3 linked regions of the Callithrix jacchus genome follow. The protein of the gene in region 3 purifies or fractionates together with the protein of the main gene of each other region. This does not show direct contact. Links are inferred from orthologs where the notes say so. Each region holds a gene or a part of one and is shown on either strand. Other genes may lie near its edges. The genes, in order: IKBKG, SMAD4 and PIAS4.

What was found.
Region 1: the proteins of PIAS4 (region 3) and IKBKG purify together in Homo sapiens (affinity purification with western blotting; 5 studies listed by BioGRID, with this or other methods). This does not show direct contact. The link is inferred for Callithrix jacchus from reciprocal best matches to the Homo sapiens genes PIAS4 and IKBKG.
Region 2: the proteins of PIAS4 (region 3) and SMAD4 purify together in Homo sapiens (affinity purification with western blotting, with the first as the bait; 3 studies listed by BioGRID). This does not show direct contact. The link is inferred for Callithrix jacchus from reciprocal best matches to the Homo sapiens genes PIAS4 and SMAD4.

What each region holds. Positions count from the first base shown.
Region 1 is NC_133524.1:150,333,519-150,337,911, forward strand, and holds the start of IKBKG (NF-kappa-B essential modulator), read left to right. Parts: upstream 1-1,567; 5' UTR 1,568-1,666; intron 1,667-4,393. UniProt on the Homo sapiens protein: Regulatory subunit of the IKK core complex which phosphorylates inhibitors of NF-kappa-B thus leading to the dissociation of the inhibitor/NF-kappa-B complex and ultimately the degradation of the inhibitor.
Region 2 is NC_133514.1:94,257,090-94,261,375, forward strand, and holds the start of SMAD4 (mothers against decapentaplegic homolog 4), read left to right. Parts: upstream 1-1,459; 5' UTR 1,460-1,865; intron 1,866-4,286. UniProt on the Homo sapiens protein: In muscle physiology, plays a central role in the balance between atrophy and hypertrophy. When recruited by MSTN, promotes atrophy response via phosphorylated SMAD2/4.
Region 3 is NC_133523.1:3,761,909-3,766,302, forward strand, and holds the start of PIAS4 (E3 SUMO-protein ligase PIAS4), read left to right. Parts: upstream 1-1,539; 5' UTR 1,540-1,564; coding exon 1,565-1,591; intron 1,592-3,948; exon of another isoform or gene 3,949-4,238; intron 4,239-4,394.

The sequences.
Region 1 (4,393 bases), on a different chromosome or scaffold from region 3:
GTAATCTCCCACCTCCTGGGTTCAAGCAATTCTCCTGCCTTAGCCTCCTGAGTAGCTGGGACTCCAGGCATCTGATACAGAGCCTGAGTAATTATTGTATTTTTAGTAGAGATGGGTTTCCCCCAGATGGGTTAGCCAGGCTGGTCTCAAACTCCTGACTTCAGGTGATCTGCCTGCCTTGGCCTCCCAAAGGGCTGGGATTATAGGTGTGAGCCACTGCACCTGGGCGTGACATATATTTCAGTAAAACATGATAAAAAGTAATAGACAGTCTAGGCATTGTAGCTCACGCCTGTAATCCCAGCACTTTGGAAGACCAGGGCAGGTGGATCACGACGTCAAGAGATCAAAACAATCCTGGCCAACCTGGTAAAACGCTGTTTCTACTAAAAATACAAAAAATAAGCTGGGCATGGTGGTGCATGCCTGTAGTCCCAGCTACTCGGGAGGCTGAGGCAGGAGAATCACTTGAACCTGGGAGGCAGAGGTTGTGGTGAGCCAAGACCACGCCATTGCACTCCAGCCTGGGTGACAGAGCGAGACTCCATCTCACACACACAGATGAAAACAAAAGACATGCTCTTCAAAGCGATCAGACACTGCAATCATGGATGGGTCCGTTTCTATGAACCATTATAGAATGGAGGCCATGCCACCAGGACACATGCCCCCATGAAACAGGCAGTTAGGAAGCCACCGGGGGCTTCCAGGTGGGAAATTGCTATGGTGTGCATCCCTTGTGTGCTCTGCTTCTGCCCCTCCTTGGGTGAGCTCGGTGCAGGGCTTCAGGTGGGAGCTGCAGGCAGACTGCTCCTGAGTTTCTTCCCGGCCCAGTTACAAGTGTCTGTGGGTCATCTCCAGGCTGCACTGGGACCTCAGCATCCCCACAGTGGGCTGTTCCCAAACCAGGGTTGCCTGTGTTGGTATCGGGGGGCTCCTAGCCACCTGCCATTTATCTCTTGAGCACTCTGGAGTGGGGCTCTCCTGTAACTGCCACATGAAAGTTTTATAAATGGTCTCTTTGCCCCCCAGATGCTGCAGTGACCGTCTTGAAAATAAAGTTCCAGCCCTGCCACCAGCTGGTCTTGGACCACCCATGAGACCTTCTCACCCATCACTACCCGACATGAAGCCCAGTGCAGCCCTCCTAGCATCCAACTTGCTGCTCCCTGAAGCCACAAGGACCTCTTGCTTCTGCATCCTTCCAAGTCCACCTCAGACGACCCCTCACCCTGGGGTAGGAGTTCCTCCACTCTGCTCCTCACAGCACCCTGCCATCAGACTGGGGAGGGGAACACTGGCCATGGCACATCAACTCAGGGTTGTCCCCGCACACAGAAAGGGCCAGCTCGCTGGGAACTAACTTGTCCCTGAATGAAACGGTAATAACCACAGCCTGCAAATACCTCTAAGCCTCACTCAAAGCAGGTCATGTTTGCTCATGACCAAATTCTGGTAGATCAGGAGGCATTGGGACAGACTACAGGAAGGTACTGTTGGCAGGGGACTGGTCTGCTGAGTCACAGCGGCCCCACGCTCCAGGCTGTTTGTTCCTGCTGCTCCCTTTGGGATTAACTGGAGATTGAACCTGTTCGCCTTGTTCCAGCTCAGCCCCTGCAACCGACTGTCTGCTGGGATCCGAGTCACCTGAGAGAAGTGAGTCGAGGTAAGACAGAGGATGGCGTGGGTGGGGGAAGGCCAGGCAGCTCTTTCCCATGGTGACGAGGAGCTAAGCTGAGCTGAGCCGAGCAGAGCCAGACTGAGCTGCTCTCCTCAGGGCTCAGGGCTAGCCCTGCCCTCCCAGCTGGCTGCAGCGCTCTAGTGGGACTTTCTGGAGGGACAAGTACAGGAAGACATGGGAAAACCTGACAGCTTAGTCAAGAGTCTACTCCTGCCATGTGGGTGGGGGCAATTCAAGGGATCCTTAGTGAGAAGCAGCTGGGAGCTTCTCATTTTCCCCACGCCCTCCTCTTTCCTGAGGACCACAGCAGGGGAGGGACCTTCTTGAGGACACAGGGTGACTTAGTAGAAGCAGGACACGATTAAGATCTCCAGCCACCAATGTCTGGCTCGGCCAGGGCAAAGGGACCTAGGCCACGACCTGTTTTATAAACCCAAATCGCTACAGCTCGTCTTGGCGTGAGGGTTTCATGGTAGAGGGCGATGCCTGCTGGAGAGCCAGCAGGGGTAGGCCACCCCATCCCCAAGGGTCGCTAGGGTCAAGGACCTGCCCAGACTCCCTGGGTGGAGCCCGAGAACCTGGGGGCTGCTGAGTTAGCTCAGTTGAAAAACCAACGAAAGGGCCTCCCTCCTAAACCCAGGGGCTCATGAGTCACCGGGTCTTTGGGAGAGTGCCAACATCATCATGACACAGCAAGAATCTTATCGGACCAACGGAGAAGTCAGCCCAGAAATGTTCCGAGGAAAGGGAGGGGTGGGGGCCGCTGAACGCCCAGCAAGCCCATGGCCCTTGTGATCCAGGTGGGGAATCTGAGGCCCAGACAGGTGAGGAACCCGTAGACTCTCAGTCCCAGTCTCTTCCCCTCACTCCCTGGTAGGGGTGGGAGTCCTGAGAAGGTGGGAAGTGGCCCACTTGGTAACTCTGAGCCGTCATCAGGGCCCCCAGGAAGGAAGCTGGGTGTGTGCGCAAGTGTTGCGTAAGCTGGCCAGGAGGAGGAAGGGACAGATGAAGGCCACGTGGGTACAGCCTGCCCCAGGGTGTCCCGCTTCCCTGGCTGTGGGTCTGCCAGCCACTTGCCTGCTTGCAGTTTCTAGGTCACGCCAAGCTAGTTCCCAACTCAGGGCTTCAGGCATTTGCTCTTCCTTTTGTGTGGGTGCTCCTCAGCCTGCCCCGGCAGGCTTGCTCTCCAGGCCCTCCTTGTGGGATCTATGCGCTCTGGGGGGCTGGGAACACAGGGCCCACATGTATCTTCTGCTTACTTGCTGTGGTTCCCTGGCCACCACAGCACATAGGTCCCATGAGGAGGGCAGGGACTGGCTACTGTGGCCCAGAAGTGCCCGATCACTCTCTTCTAAATGAATGGAAAATGGGCTATTTTCCTGGAGCAACAGATTCTAGGATTGGGTGCCCCCAAGTGCATCGAGTGAGGCATCGGGCACGGAAGGAGCCTGGGAGTGGGAGCTGCTCCAGGTGCTGCCTGAGCACGCCACCCCCACCCGCAGCAGGAAGAGGAAGAAACCAACCACAAGGCCCTTCAGAGAGAGGACCCCTTGTCCTCTACCCACAGTGCTGGAGCTGGCACCGTCAGAGCAGAGGAGAGCAAAGGGGAACCCTACTGATTTCAATGAAACAAAGTTGCCCAATACCAAGCTGGCCACAAGTGAAGAAAGTGAAATGACACAATCAGCTTGGAAAACCCTAAGGACCCTGGGCACTTGTTTCAAAAGCTGTCATTTGCTACATGAAATGCTGACAGTCAGAGAAAGGAAAACACTTGCTCCAAGTCACACAACAAGTTTGGATGCTCAGTGAGGTTGTCTAATGAGAGCTGAAGGCCTGGAGTCATAAGCCATCATTGTGGCCTGGGCTGCTGTGTTGTAGTGTCCTTGTGACAGCATGGGGTGGAGACAGGGAAAGGAGAAAGCATCCTCAGTTACCTTCTCCTCTAGTCTGCTTCTTGCACTAAGGGCTTAATGGTCAGAGTCCTAGGTGGTAAGGTTTGTGACTGATGCAGGTATGGCTCTTTTAATTTTTTTTGACATGGAATCTCATTCATTCTGTTGCGCAGGCTGGATCACTGCAACCTCTGCCTCCCAGGTTCAAGCAATTCTCCTGCCTCACCTTTCTGAGTAGCTGGGATTACAGGCAGGCGCCACCATGCCTGGCTAATTTTTGTATTTTTAGTAGAGACAGGGTTTTGCCATGCTGACTAAGCTAGTCTCAAACTCTTGACCTCAGGTGATTGCCCGCCTTGGTCTCCCAAAGTGTTGGGACTACAGCTGTGAGTCACAGGGCCTGGCCAGGTATGGCTCTTCTGAGAGGACTAGGCTGGGGCTGAAGGCAAGCCCAATCCACTGTGGGCTCCACCTGGGTACCTCTCCTGGGTCTCAGGCATATGGGGAGTCAGAGGACAGTGCTTGGGGTGGCCCTTCCTTACTTCTCCCTCGGCTGCCTCCTCATTCCTTTTCTAAGTTCTGATCAGAAGTACAAAGGTGTCAAGGAGCAGGTTTGCAAAGTGTGACACTGCATTGTTGTACGTGAACAAAGAACCACTAAGCTCATCCAGCACTCAGGGACGCGTGATGAGGAAGAGCTCATTAGTTTTGAGAGAGCTCTTGCTCAAGGTTATAAGATACTTTTTTTTTTGAACTGGAGTTCTGCGCTTGTCACCCAGACTGGAGTGGAATGGTGAAATCTTGGCTCATGGCGAAA
Region 2 (4,286 bases), on a different chromosome or scaffold from region 3:
TATTACCTAAGAATCACATATTGAACTATTATTAAATCATGTTTAGTAATCTATTAGCTGACAGATCTACTTTCAGTTTTGTTGACAGAAAAGATTGGAAAACTATCCGACTTGCAAAATAATTTAATACCCTTCACCTAAGGTCATTTACTTTCTCAGCATAGATACCGATATTTGAATTGCCCCTTTTGGATTGCTGGGGAGGTTCTGCATTGACCCAGTGTACCTTAATAATGAGTAAGAATTCTGACTTTCTTTTGTAAGGTGGGAGGGAGAAGGGTAGTTTTGAAAACAGGTGCTGTGTCCTTAGCTCCCTTCTCAAGCTGGGCAATTTTAGAAAACAGAACATATAGCAACGGAAGATATGGAAATGAAATCCCTTAAAACTGGTCTTCATAAACCCCAGTGGTAAGAGAACACCAGTTTGAAGCTTTAGGGGCTTTCTGGCATTAAAAGAAAAAAAAAAGTGGGGGGGAAATGGCCCAGGATGTGGAGGACAGAATGAGGCACAGAGGATCTATGTGGCGAAGGCATGCGGTGGGTGTAGAGAGTTCTGGGCTACGTGACCTAAGAAATGACTTTAGAACTGGCTCATCATTAGTTTTGGAGGGACTAAAACTAGTCCCAAAGTAGTTCCTGCTTGGTGAAAATATATCATTAATGCGTTTTAAATTAAAAAAAGAAATGCATGCGTCTTGTAAAAAATGAAATAAAAGAAATATAAAGCCAAAAGCAGAGCCTATGCCTTTCCCCACCGAACAAACAGATAACCTAGTTAATAGGTGTGTAGTAGGAGTCGAAGTTCCCCTCCAGCTCCGAGAGTGCTCTGTATCTCCTCCAACAAAACCACCCACACTTGGAACGCCTGGCAAGGCTCTTCAGTAAGGGATTCCTTGACTGTCCTGTGCGTCTCTCGAGTTTAAACACCTCTGGGGCTCGTGATTCGGGGCTGCCGGAGAGGGAAGGTGCGGCCAGCGTCTGTTTCTTACCGAAGTGAACTGCTACAACCTAGCCACGTTCTCCTCCGAGCTGTAGACTGGCTCTTGAAGGCCAATTTTTGTGCCTACGCAGGTCCTCAACACCAAACAAAACAAAAAACCAACAAAGGCCGGGCTAATCACTGTTTATAAACACTTACTGGACGCCCACTCAACGCCGAGCTCTCCTGCGCAGCTTGGGTACTTTTTTGCAAAGAGATGCCAGTGTCCCTGGCGACCACTCCCTCAAGCAGGCCTTCGCCCTCCGCCCGCATCGCGGCCCAGGCCCAGGCCCAGGCCGAGGCCGGGACTCTGAGCCTCCCGCCGGCTGGCGCTGCCCGGCAGGCGCCTGCGCAGAGCGACCCTCCCCTTCACAGGGGGCGGGGGACGGAAGGCGGGGGCAGCCGGGAGAAAGGAAAGCTGCGGGGGAAAAGGGCCAAACCCTGAAATTACCCGGATGTGGTCCCCGCGCGCGCATGCTCAGTGTTCTCTCGACAAGTTGGCAGCAACAACACGGCCCTGCTCGTCGTCGCCGCTGCGGTAACGGAGCGGCTCGGGTGGCGGAGCCTGCGTTCGCGCCCTCCTGCTCTCAACGGGAGGCCTTTCTCGCCCTCCCCTCGGCTCCGCAGTCGCCCAGCGGGTGGGAGCGGGTGAGGGAAGCCGGGTGCCTCGCGAGAGAGGCCCCCCGCCGCGGGGCTGCCCGGGAGCTCGAGGCGGTCCGGTCGGCGCGGGCAGCGGCGCAGCGCTGAGGAGAGGCGGCCTGGCCGGGAAGCCTCGGGGCGGGGGCCGAGGAGCTCTCCGGGCCGCGGGCGAAAGCGACGGGCCCGGAGCGTCCGCGGACCAGCAGCGGCGGGAGAGCGGACTCCCCTCGCCACCGCCCGAGCCCAGGTAACCGCGCCATGTCCCCTCCCCTTCCCCCGGCCTGGCCCGCGCACCCCGCCCGCGGCTTCTCCGCCCCGGGGCGGGCTCCCGGCGGCGGCGGGGAGCGCGCGGATCCGCTGGGAGGGCGACCGTGGCTACCTGACGAGCCGGCCCGGGCGGGCTGGGTGAATGCAGGGTAGCGGTGCCTCGCGTCCCTCCAGCTCCCAGCTCCGCTAGCAGCTCGTGCGAGAATCAAGTTAAACTCGGACGGGACTCCTGCCGCGGCCGCCGCTCCTCTTTGTTGTTCTGGAGTAGTTTCTTGGTCGCCCGGGCTGAGCGCGTTGGGTCGGCTGGAGTGTGTTGCCTTACGGTCTAAATGAAAGTTGTAAATTGTTTGTCTTAATTTATTTTCTCCAGCCAATTTCTGTTTTCTCTTTGTCCTTTACTTTCTCTTCCTAGTCGTGTCAATGCCAGTTTACGCTTCTGTCTTTGATATGTTTAGTTTTTGAGTACTGAGAGTGACGGTGGTATGCCGGACACATTCTTAGCACCTAACTGAACCCCTTCTTCCCCCTATATAACATGCTCCCTAATAAAAGGCACAGTTGATCTTACTGTTAGCACTACGTGTACTGAGAGTGAAATGGGTGTAGGGTGGAGGGCGGTGGCTCCATCACTTGCCCCAAACTGTTGTTAGGATCTCTCAAACTAGATTTTCAAAGACACGAGTATGTTTAGTTAACCTGAAAGGTTTATTGGCTGGTGCAGAGGTTTTACAAAGCCCTGCTGAATATTAATAGCTGTTTCCCTCAAAAACCTAAGTACATTTGTTTTTAATAAAGCGCGCGCGCGCACACACACACACACACACACTCACACACACATTTATTTCCAAATTACTTTCTTAATGCATTTAGTTTTTGCACCGTAGTTTAAGGTGAAATTGCCAGTTACTTAGGAATAATAAATATAACAAGATAATAAGGGAATTAGACTGAGTTGACTTTCTGCAGACATACAATCTTAGCTAATTTTTGTTAATAACCTTTTGACTTTTGTCGGAATTAGAATCCTTTTAGTCTTAGTAGCAGCTTGGTTACTCGGGTATTTAAGAATTAGATTCACTACTTTTTGCTGGCAAAAAACATTTATTAGAGTCTCAAAAAAATGAAATGCATAATGTTGTAATTAGGTTTAGAACATGGCATTTGAATAATTTTTATGGTGGATTTCATAAATTACTTTGCCATACTCTGCCGAGACTAGATATATATTTTTTAGTTGAAATATAGGAAATTCTAAAGTGCAACTTTTTTTTTATGCTGAGGACTTATTCTGTCTATATTGGAAAGTTCTGATGTGATTAGTAGATAACATTCTAAACTGTAAATGATTAACATTTAAAAACACGGATTTTTAAAATTAATGTTTCTTCCATAATGCTGTCATGATTTTGTATACTTAAATGGGTTCCTTAAAGAACAAATGTAATAGAGATAGGCCAAGCATTTATAATTTGGAGTAGCTTTAGATCTAAAGATGGTGATGAATTATGTAGGCTTAAGTTGTTGGAATTAAAACCAAAAGCTTCTTTAGATAAAATTGTTACAATATTTAACTTTATTAATAGAAGTGGCTTTTTCCTTGCTTTCCAGGTTTTCGGGTGAGTTTTTAAAAAGTATGGCATCTTGGGTTTTTTATTTTTGAAGTGGGGGTGTATGGCTCTGTTTAGGTCAGTGCCTTCAGTGTAAATCTTGAGTTTAGAAAAAAACAAATTGCAAATCTGTTTTTCAGACTTAATGAAAATTTGTGCTGAGAAATATTTCACTTTGAAATATTTTGGAATAAGTTTTATGTGGATGATTGACTTTTTATGATAGTTTTGCTGCTTGAAGCAATTCTGCCTATACTAGGAGGCAGCAAATCTTATTTTAGAAAACTTGTGCTTCATTTTCTTTTTTTTTTTTATTGCATTTTAGGTTTTGGGGTACATGTGCAGAACATGCAAGACAATTGCATAGGTACACACATGGCAGTGTGTTTTGCTGCCTTCCTCCCCTTCACCCACATTTGGCATTTCTCCCCAGGCTATCCCTCCCCAGCTGCCCCGCCCCCGTCCCTTCCCTATTGCCCCAATAGACCCCAGTGTTTAGTACTCCCTTCCCTGTGTCCATGTGTTCTCATTTTTCGTCACCCACCTATGAGTGAGAACATGCGTTATTTCATTTTCTGTTCTTGTGTCAGTTTGCTGAGAATGATGTTCTCCAGATTCATCCATGTCCCTACAAATGACACGAACTCATCATTTTTGATTGCTGCATAATATTCCATGGTGTATATGTGCCAGATTTTCCCAATCCAGTCTATCATCGATGGGCATTTGGGTTGGTTCCAGGTCTTTGCTATTGTAAACAGTGCTGCAATGAACATGCATGTGCATGTGTCCTT
Region 3 (4,394 bases):
ATCACCTGAGGTCAGGGGTTCAAGACCAGCCTGGCCAACATGGCGAAACCCCGTCCGTACTAAAAATACAAAAATTAGCTAGGCGTGGTGGTGGGCACCTGTACTCCCAACTACTCGGGAGGCTGAGGCAGAAGAATTGCTTGAACCTGGGAGGTAGAGGTTGCAGTAAGCTGAGAAGACACCATTGCACTCCAGCCTGGGCGACAAGAGCTACATGGTGACAACTGTCTCTGCAAAAAAAGAAAAAAATTTATTATTTCATCCATCATGAACTTTTTTGCCTTTTTTTTTTGAGACGGAGTTTTGCTCTTGTTACCCAGGCTGGAGTGCAATGGCGCGATCTCGGCTCACCGCAACCTCCGCCTCCTGGGTTCAGGCAATTCTCCCGCCTCAGCCTCCTGAGTATCAGGGATTACAGGCACGCGCCACCATGCCCGGCTAATTTTTTGCATTTTTAGTAGAGACGGGGTTTCACCATGTTGACCAGGTTGGTCTCGATCTCTCGACCTCGTGATCCACCCGCCTCGGCCTCCCACAGTGCTGGGATTACAGGCTTGAGCCACCGCGCCCAGCCTGATTTTTTTTTTTTTTTTTAATATTAAAAGTATTGGACTCGCCAGGTGTGGTGACTCCCGCCTGTGATCCCAGCACTTTGTGAGGCCCAGGCAGGAGGATCATTTAAACCCAGACGTTCGAGATCAGCCTGGACAACATAATGAGATCCCGTCTCTACAAAAACTAAAATAAAAAATAAACTGCACTAAAATAGTTGATTACTGAAGTCTGAACTTAAATTCTACGGGCACTAGGGAGCCAAGGAGCGCTTTGGAATCTGCAGCTGGTGCGGATTCCAGGGTTTCCCAAGGGTGGGAAGCAGGATGGGAGAGGGCGCCTGCAAAGAGGTGAGAGCTGCACGAGCTCCGCGGCATTTGGGAGCCGCGGTCCCGCTTTTCTCCGCCTAGCGCCAGCCAGCAGGGTGCCGAGCCCACGCCCCATCTGCACGCCAGGACCCGGATGTGCAGCGCGCGGGGCGTCGGGGCCCGTGGAGCGTGCACCGCGGTGCGCTGCAAGGCGTCGCACTGCACGCACTGGCGGTCGTTGCGGCGGAGCAACCGTCTCCTCCCTGACGCCGCCGGGAGTCTGGATACGCACCTGGCGGAAGAAGCCGCGTCACCTGGCCGCATTGTGGTCGCTGCCACTGCCCCCCTCCCTCCTTCCTTCCTTCCCTCCCTCCTTCCCTCCTTCGAGGCGACCCACACCCGTCCCCACCTGTGCAGAGCTCGTACCCCTTTAAGGAGTCAGACGCCGCCAGGGGTGGGCGTGGTCGCCGCGAGCTAGAGAAGACGAGGGAAGGAGGGAGGGGCTGGTGTAGGGCGGACCTGATTGGCCCTAGGCCCGGGCGGCGGCCGCGCGCGCCTGCGCAGGACGCAGCAGCGCCCGCCGGCGGCGGGAGGAGCGCGCGCGGGTGCTAATTGGCCCGGGCGGCGGCCCCGCCCGCGAGTGGTGGGAGGTCACGTGACGCGACGGCTGGGGGCTCCCGGCGCGGGGGACGCTGGTGGCCAAGATGGCGGCGGAGCTGGTGGAGGCCAAAGTGAGTGAGCGGCGGCGGCGCCGGCCGGGGCAAGTGGGCGAAAGGGCGGGGGCCGGGCCGCGGGTCCAGGTCTGCGCCTTCCGTCCGGGGCCCCACAGCGCGGTCCGCCCGCGGCTCGCCGTCCCGGCCCCCAGACCCCGACCCCAGGGCTCAGGGTGAGGGCGGGGGGGCGGGGAGGCCGGGGGCGGGGCCCTCCTGCCTCACCCGGGTCTTCGCGCCAGGGGTCGCTCCCCCAGCTTCAGGCAGGGTTCCCCCACCCAGCCGGAGCCTTTAGGGTCCGGGTCCCCAAGCGCCGGGCCAGGGCCGCGCCTCCCGGTTCAGGCAGCGTGCCCCCGGGCTGCGGGATGGGTTGAGCTTCTCGTTGCCCTCTTGCTTCCGAGCCGTAGTCCCTGGTATTTGTCCGGTTTGTGTCGGGAGGAGTGTCTGCGCTTACCGGCCCGGAGGGCTCCCAGGACTGGTGTCTGGGTCTTGTCCCCGCCCAACAGGCCAGGCTGGGGTTCGCGAGTCCTCTGCTCCGAAGGGTCCCCTCAGTCCCGGATAGCGTCCTACCGCCGTCCAGGTGGAGAAATCAGGGCCCTGAGACCACCCCAAGACACAGCACGTCCTCTTGGGGGCTGGAGCCGGTCTTCAGCTGCTGCATTGGTCCCAGGACCCCGCCCCCTTCCCGACACGGTTTCTCAGACACCGGAGTGGACGCTGGGGGAACGCTGGGCTCTTTACCCTCGCCATGGGATGGAGTCCCAAACGCTTGTCTTGGTTAGAAACCTTCCTTGCTCGCCCCTTTTTAAAAACAAGTCTGACATCCTGGACCTGTGTCGTTCCCCGCGGGGCAGAATCTAAGGTTACTGGTTTTGCTTCTCGTGGTTCTAAGCCTCACCTGTGCAGCCTCAGATACTGTCTCCAGAGTTAGCCGCTTCTGTTTCCTACTCTTGAGCGAGTCTGCTGCGAAGATCAGACTCCCTTTCTCCCTGCACAGCCCCCAGCACCTGTCTGCACCCCAGCTTTGGTTTCTGAGGTTCCTTGTCTTTCTGCTTATACTCTTTATTTTGATCTTTGGAGGGTCCCCACTGGGTCCGAGGCCGGCCTCTTTAGAATAACTTCGGCTGCTTCTCTGTCACGGTCTGGGCCCTGTCCAGGTCCCATGTCCGGTAGGTGCCGTCTCCTTCTAGCTTGGAACACCTTTTAATCGTCCTGAGATGGAGCTCAGAGTATCCCCGTTCCTGGGGATGTACCTTCTTGTAGGTGGCTACCTAGAGCTGAGGATCGTCTAAAATCTTCAGAAGTGTCGTCAAGGCCACTGCTTCCAGGGAGGTTAGGGGATCTCTCCCTCCCTCACCCCACTTTAGGTCTTCCCCGCCGGGGTCCTGACCTGTACGTATTTTCTTCCCTCATCACCCGCTGGGATCTGAAAACACAGCCCTCAAGGTTCTGTGATGATAGCATCCAATCCTCTTACCCTTCCAAGCCTTCACTCCGCACGCACTTCTGCCGCTCCCTAGAGTTTTGCAGAGTGGAGACACCCTGGAGATGTGGAGGCCTGAACTCTGTAACCCCAAGGCGGCAGGCTCTGGGCTTGAAGTTCCATGGAGACCTCGCAACTTGGAGCTGTGACCCTGGACCCCACCCCCACCCTGGCTGAGGGCAGGGTCTGCACTCTTTCGTACCATCCAGGCCTTGAAATACGATCTGACGAACTTTTCCTTGACCCTTTGGTGGCTGGTACCCACCCCCGCCCCCCAGTTAAATCAAGTTTGCCCCTTCTTTCAGACTCTCTAAATTGCGAGCCTCCATTCAAGGGGGTGGGACCTTGGGGGGCCGCCTTTCTCCTTGAGTCCGTTTCTATCCCTCCAAATGCCTTAAGGGTCATCGAAACATCCCCTTTTTTACAGGGGCTTTCCCCAGCCTGTCATACTCATGGCTGCAGATTCTGCTTTTGGGGTGCATCACAGACTGCTCGGAGGGTTGAATGGTGAGGGCTTGTTAATGAACTTTGAAATCTGAGACCCTCTGCTTGGGGTCTGGAGGCGGGTTTTGGGGCAGGGGTGTCGTGAAATAGTCCACAGCGTTTAGCACAACACACATCTCTGTTCTCCTGGAGAGGGGCGCCTTCCTGAGCTTCCCCGGTGCTCCGAGGGCCCCGTGCTGGAGGAAAGGTTCAGCGCAGCTGCTGTCTCTGGGCTGCTGTCTCCCCACGAGGCTTCCCGGCAAGCCTGGAGTTGAAACTCGGAAGGGCCTGGGCCTGGCGCTGTTTATAAACACAGCTTTGAGGGCAGGTGGGTCAGGATGAAGCCAGGGCAGGAAGTGATCTCGGGGCATTGGGTGCTTCTTCCTGAATTCGTGTCCTCCTGCCCCCCTCCAGTGTCCAGGGCAGGCTCCTCCGAGGTGGCAGCTGCCGGGAAATCTGAATCGTGAACATATGGCTGCCTAAGGGGTGTGCTCCGGAAAGCAGGAGCTGCAGCTCCACTGTCCAGCCTGGGCAGGGCAGGGGCTCCTGGGGTGCCAGGACGTCAGCGGGTTCCCAAGCCCACCTGCCTTCGGCCGGGCTGCCAGTGCGAAGTGTCCACATGACATCGCCTCTCCTTGCTAAGGCCTGGGCAGCTTCCAGAAGAAACATCTTGTCCGCAAGCCCTTTTGTTTTCTGCATGAGGTAGGAAGTCAGGCCGAGAGGGATGAGGCATTTTTGTTTGCAAAGCCTCGCTGACTCAGGCCCAGCAGACCACGCAGGTCCCCGTAGCCAGTGTGCTGGTGAGCGAGGGTCCCCTGGGCCTCGGACGGGAGCACTCTTGGGGGCCCAGGGGCCGAT